Daphnia pulex: one gene and its partner. Each later gene encodes a partner of the first gene's protein in a complex. Links are inferred from orthologs where the notes say so. Each region holds a gene or a part of one and is shown on either strand. Other genes may lie near its edges.

Region 1 (3,317 bases):
ACAAAACGAGAATTTTGCAGAATACCAACCTGAGTGTGAGCGATGACACGGATCACTTTGCAGTAACGTTTCATGGCCCTCAGCTCCTTTTCAATGACTTTCTTGCCCAAGTCATCTTGCCACTTCTTTGAAGCCTTGGTGAAAGCCTTCTTCTTGGATTTGTACCTTCAAGATAAGATACCGTGGTAAAAAGAATCCTTCATGGGCACAAGCCTCATCAGTTAAAAACTGAGCGGAGACTGTAGACCCAATTGGATGTGAAGCTCATGGACACTTGGTCAGAGGAGCTGGAGTATTAATGAGCATTTACTATTTGAAAAGGTCTTAGATAGTCATCAGTTCGCCCTAGTTCAAGCAAAGTCTGTCTTCAGGCATTTAGCTCAGGAACCATATTAAATCATCACTTGACCATCTTAAGACCAGGCAAGAAAAGTCAAGTACCAGTTCTTGTAGAAACGACGACGGCAGTCCTCGCCGATATGTTCGGCCCAGACAGTTTTCAAAGCACGAAGACCTTTGGGGGTAGCAACATAACCAACAATGCCCACGATGACCATTGGTGGTGTTTCCAAGATGGTAACCGCCTCAACAACTTCCTTCTTGTTGACCTCTACAGTTTGAGAAAGAGAAATTAGTCTCTGCCATTGATATGTCAGCTTTGCGAGTAGTTTTTCAGCATGTTCCTAAGTGAAATTTGACAGGTAACGAAACTTACTTGAGCCAGGTTTGTCGCATTCACGAACAATATGGGTCATGCCAGCTTTGTAAGCCAAGAAAGCAGTCAAGTGGATAGGTTTCTTGGGATCATCATGGGGGAAGGACTTTACGCGACCACGATGTGAGCGACAACGCTTCTTGGGGTAGAATCCCATGGAGCCATGGCGAGGCGCGCTAAATTTCCGGTGAGACTGTAATTACAAAGCATGAATTAATAAAACGAAACCATAATAAATTACAATTGTACTAATAAAAATTCCACTCGACGAAAACAATGCTTCAACAAGATTAAAATTCTAGTAAAAAATTCACATTTCTTGACACATATTAAAGTCTAACAGCACATTGAACTTTTGCCAAATACAATATCAACAATTTACGTGAATCAAAAGTTTAATACGCTCGATGTTTAAAGATAAAATATTTCTTTTAAGTGAGCACTGACTTACCATTGCTTTAGAATGCCGGAAAGAGATGTACAGGAAAGTAACCAGCACACCGGTACATATATATATAGTTTTGCCTCATGCAGTAACCAGCATTGCCAACTCGTCTTTGAAATTCACCCAACTTTTTACAGCTGCCGCCAGCCGCCGCCACCCGCTTGAAATTAAATTATGATTAAAACAAATAACTTGTATTGTTAACTGAATTTTGAATTGTTAGTAACCTAAAATATTTTTTTCTTTTACAACATGGAATTAAAAAGTGATTTTCTAATAATTCTAGCATTTTAACGATTTTGCTTTCCAGCCTATTCAAGTTTGCACAACGCTGACTCATTAGATCGGATTCCCTTCGTGCCCCACTTTATTTCTATTTCATTTGGACTGCGAAATCATTTTCGATTCTAATTCAAAAAGAAATTCAAAAATGATTCTGAAAATCTGAATTCTCGATTAACGGAATTTCTGAAATGGCAATGCTGATAGAGAGACGGAAAGTATGGCCGACTAGTTCGTCGTCTGTCACGAAAACCTTAGAAAAACAGGCAATTTTTCGTCAATTTCAAACTCGAATTCAATAATTTACTTAATAACCCTAAGTTAAAATGGAAGATCCTCCAAGAGCACCAGCTCATAACCCATTCTTTCGATTCGTCCATGCGGTGCAAAACACTATTGATCGTCCTGTTACTTGGTTCCGAGGTAAGATTGGAATAAAGCAATAATGCAGAGTCGTATCGGTACAGTTATTGTTTGTTTATCAATCACCTGACAATTCTCGTAATTGAACAGAATCGGTTGTGACCCCCAATCGACCAGACCATGTTTACTACCACCAAAAGTTTCGACGAGTCCCAACCATCGATCAGTGTTACACTGATGATCCTGTCTGCCGCTTTGAGGCACAGCAACAATTCAACCGTGACAAGTATGCCACCTATATGAAATTATACGGATGTCTCTTTGAACTAACCAATTTTTTGTCTTTACAGGTTAGTTGATGGTGAGATTGTTCAACTTGTTCGTCAGCGCTTGAAGGAGTAAGCTCATAAATCCTTCCACACTCTAAATCTTTGGTCATTGATATTCATTATTCTTTTAGGTGCATTGCTTATGAGATACCAGATCAAGATAGAAAATGTGCCAAGCTTAAGGAAGAATTTGACAAAGTTTCGGAAAGTTTCTGCATGAAATGTAAGTGCATCATTTCAATTACGATGAGTTTGCAATGATTCTAATGCTCCTCCCTTGCAATGCAGACGCAGACCTTGGTCCCTACAACAACGTCAAGGATGCCTACATGAAGCAGAAGCATCGCATGCTGTGGGAGAGAAGGCACGGCAAAGTCGGCACCGGCATGAAGATTGAAGAATAAGCCCCTTTAAAAAGAAAAGATTAAAAAAAAAGATGGCTTTCTATTCAATGGATAGAACTGTATCTTTGTAATGGTCGCAATGTAAACACAATAGAATGAGAATCTACATAGACGGTTTATTGACGTGGTAAAAATAACTTGAAAACACCTTTCTTCATCATTATTTTTTTTCCGTTCATTTATTGAGAGGACAGCACATGTTATACACACACAAAAGGTTAAAAGACGATTCGGCGGGAGGGAGAGATTCGGGAGTCAATTGTCGTCGATTTGTCACAACGGCGTCTGTTGGTAGACGTTGGCCAGCCCCTCGAAGGCCACCTTGCGGGGCATGGTGGACGCTCTGTGAATGCCGGCAACGTGATTGCTATTGCGCATTTTCGGTCGGTTGTAGGTGGCGTAGTGAATCTGACAGGTGCAGTCCATCTCCTGCTGGATGCCGGGTCCCGATTCCGCGTTGTTGATGTACATCGGACTGGGTCTTCCGCCCGCTCCGGCCGCCAGGAACGGCGGTACATCAGGATCTCGATCGAATTCTCCGTGTGCTGTCGAATGGCCAGGATCCATGGTGAGCAAGTCGCAATAGGGCACGTGCATCTAAAAATAATCCGCCGGAAAAAAAAGAAGAAATGCTTAGAAAATACCAAGAGTTCCATCTCAATAAACGAGAATCCAGGTCGTTTAGCCCTTTTCGCCCCTCCATCAACTATTCGTAGACTCTCTAACGAATCTTTTCCCTTATTCATAATAGAATAAGTAAAGCCGAACGAAGACTCTAC
Region 2 (2,930 bases), on another chromosome or scaffold:
CAAAGATCACATCATCAACGCGTTGAAGAATCGTGTTTGTGATTTAGAAGAAATGAACAAAGAAGCCAAGCAGAAAAATCGCTGTCTCATCTGTCTGGTAAATTCAGAAGAAATTAATTAAACCTTTAAACATTTTTCTAATTCATTTCATTATTGCAGGGCGATTATCGACAGCCTGTAGTATCCACTTCGTGTTGGCACGTTCACTGTGAAGAGTGTTGGCTTCAGGCATTGGTAAATTTCGATTGTCTTTAGTGTCACCAACTGATTTTTTTTAATTGGAAAATTTTATTAATTCAACAGGGCAACAAGAAACTCTGCCCTCAATGCAATTTGATTACCTCGCCGACTCACCTCAGACGGATTTACATGTGAATTTCTTAATGTGATGGTGTCAAAACAAATTATTTTGGGTTCTCATAAGTCACTGAAGAATTTTTTTTCAAATTCAACATTTAAACTCTTTAATTATGATTTTTTTTTGGCCAACATTGTTTTCCCCCGAAACTTTTTCTTCCATCATTTTTCTCTCTCTCTCAACATTGTTTCCTTTATTTTGATTGGGTGTGCGTATGTACGCGTGTTCTCTGTTGTTCATGTGTAAATATAGTAGGCTTTCTCGCAGTGCTTTCCTCCAATCATTTGGTTTTTCTCCTTTGTCTCCATTTCAATGCCAGGTAGAACTTGTTTCAGTCTACCCTTTGGTTGGTTTATTTGTATACACAAAGCATCCTCTACAATTTGTCTTGTTTCACGTTTTTAAATCAACTTTTAAATGATGATCTCGTAATCACCCAAATCTTCTTCTGATGGCAGCACAACGGTGGATTCATCAACGTAGTTGGGGTCAAGCAGAGGTAGTCCCTTGGCCTCCCTTTCTCGAACAAGCAGGTAGGCTTCTCGCTGGGACCAGTCCCTCAAACTGAAACAATGTCAATGTTGTGTTAATCATAAACAGTGAGAAATATTTTCAGTGTGATGACTTACGCGTGGTCAGGCCCATACATGTAGGCCAGTGAACCGATGACAATGCATAGTGTTATACCGAATAATGAAAAAAGGTGGGCTAGTGCAACATCCTCAGTCTCGTCCTGGGTGGTGAATCCATAGGTCATCCATTTCTGAAAGAATAAGTCACAAATTACATGAGAATTCCTGAAACTGAGCAAATCGAAACCATCTGAGGACAGCCCTTCAACTAATCTCTTACGTATTGTAGGCTGCTACTCTGCATTTCTATTCAAGGAATTATACGAGAAAATTATTGCTAGTACCTTTCTTGCCGAAGCAGCAGCGACGTCGATGTCGTGGGTAACTTTGTGTGACGGGATTTTTTCTGTGACTACAGCTGTTTCATCCTTCTTTTTGGACGTGGAAATACAACGATTGCCGAGTGCGATAGGTCGAAGATAATTCCTCAAAGGGCCTGCCAATCTTCCAGATCGAACAACGAACGCCATTTTTACCAGAAAATTTCTCACGAACACGAAAAATTTCTGCTGCAGACGACAACAGTGTTCGCCACCTTACGACGAAAATTGTAAGTAATATTGCTGCCACCTAGCGCCAAAATTGAGTAACACTTTCCTCAAAGTCTCAAAGTGGGGCAGTTTAGTCTGCAACTCTGCATAGTGAACAACGCTTGAAAATGGTAATTTCTACTTGTATTCTTTAAGAATATAAAAAGTGTAAATTTTTTGTGTTGTGCATTAACAAATAAAGAAGCCAACTATTTCCATCTGATCATGTGGCCTGAAACTGCTGTTTCCCAAAATGTCGTCTATTGCTGTGCTTTCGTCACATCACATGTAGAAATACTTCTCAACAGTAAAAATGATCATGTTGGTGTAACCTTAAGGTTAAACATTTGATGACCTTGTTTCTGATATTAATGGAGATTTTATTTTTCTATTAACAGCATGGTGAAGTCTGAGCTTCTTCATTGCAGTCCAATGTGCTGTGCAGTGTGATTTGTTGCAGCCAGCTGGTGAAAGGTGTTCCTCTTGCAGACTTGCTACCTGTAACGCTTGTAGCTTTCGTCACATACAGAAACACTTATAAACAATCTAAAGTAATTAAGTTGATCAACTTTTTTACGGTAAGACTACACATTTACTTTGTTGATGACTAGCTCTTTGCTTTATATCTTTTGACTTTTCAGTTAAGACTGTTCAAAAAGCTTGCCAACTGTTGATTCCTTTGTAATGTTTTTAAAAGAAATTCTTAGAGATTTCTTAGTTTAACTATGCTTCTGTTATTTTCTTATGTTACATGTCAATTTGTTTTCTTGTAGTAATTGAGTTGTTTTCCCTCCAAGTAGGATTAGCAGCTTCTTAAAAGGTCTGAGCCTCTTTGTTGCAGTCCGATGTGTACATGAATTCTGTGCAACCAGCTAGTGAACAATGTGGTGAGCTGTTGCATGCAGACTGCAGTGTTCTGGTATCGTTCGTTCATTGAACTATAGACCGTTCAGTCGTTCCTTTATCGTAAGAAATCTGACACGGTGTGTAAAATTGTTTCCACTAGGTGGCAAAGAAGGTTAGAATTTCGTTCTTGATGTCGAAGACTAGTGACATCTCATTTTGTGCTTCTAAATAAGTGCTTAAAAATTGTGTAAGGTACTTGTAATCTTTATTTGTTTTTCTCTAGTTTAGCGTACATTTCAAGTAAATCCTTTTTGGTATCTCTTTTACATTTCAAATTTGTATTGGTTCATTTATGTTCTTTTACTTTGTAGATTTCCATGGTCAGTTTGTTGTTTGAGCTGTTTATGGTGTTGCTGTTTGGGGTACAGTGGTTTTGCTGTCATTTTCCAGTTGAAAAATGCACTGAAATGGAGCTTGTGCAGACTTGCAGTTCAACATCACACTTAAATGTGTCATTTTTCTATGTTGGTGTCCGTGCAGTGTTGATTAGTTGGGTGAAATAGT

Evidence for each region.
Region 2: the proteins of NADH dehydrogenase [ubiquinone] 1 beta subcomplex subunit 10-like (region 1) and uncharacterized protein LOC124205711 are in contact, whole or in part, in a cryo-EM structure (PDB 8BA0), measured with the Drosophila melanogaster proteins. The link is inferred for Daphnia pulex from reciprocal best matches to the Drosophila melanogaster genes ND-PDSW and NP15.6. Residues at the interface, in NP_651972.1 of Drosophila melanogaster: Trp40, His42, Gln43, Phe45, Thr50, Ile51, Asp52, Ala65, Phe69, Arg70, Arg71, Met74, Val75, Glu78, Ile79, Ile82, Leu83, Arg86, Ala112, Asn115, Trp116, Ile118, Lys119, Ala129, Tyr133, Gln136, Lys137, His138, Arg139, Leu140; in NP_650774.1 of Drosophila melanogaster: Gln101, Phe102, Arg103, Trp105, Ala106, Gln107, Arg108, Glu109, Gly110, Phe111, Leu112, Glu113, Leu114, Val125, Ser126, Pro127, Asn128, Tyr129, Val130, Asp131, Pro132, Ser134, Ile135, Thr136, Leu137, Pro138, Leu143, Glu147, Ile148, Ile149.

Annotation. Positions count from the first base shown.
Region 1 is NC_060017.1:7,432,407-7,435,723, forward strand, and holds NADH dehydrogenase [ubiquinone] 1 beta subcomplex subunit 10-like, read left to right. Parts: upstream 1-1,634; 5' UTR 1,635-1,768; coding exon 1,769-1,865; intron 1,866-1,955; coding exon 1,956-2,091; intron 2,092-2,155; coding exon 2,156-2,203; intron 2,204-2,265; coding exon 2,266-2,357; intron 2,358-2,422; coding exon 2,423-2,538; 3' UTR 2,539-2,650; downstream 2,651-3,317. Other genes in the region: 60S ribosomal protein L3-like, read right to left, coding at 30-165, 442-610, 716-908, 1,167-1,169; uncharacterized protein LOC124197638, read right to left, coding at 2,812-3,135.
Region 2 is NC_060026.1:15,898,643-15,901,572, reverse strand, and holds uncharacterized protein LOC124205711, read right to left. Parts: upstream 1,516-2,930; 5' UTR 1,461-1,515; coding exon 1,275-1,460; intron 1,122-1,274; coding exon 988-1,121; intron 923-987; coding exon 772-922; 3' UTR 662-771; downstream 1-661. Other genes in the region: E3 ubiquitin-protein ligase Rnf220-like, read left to right, coding at 1-97, 160-234, 304-375.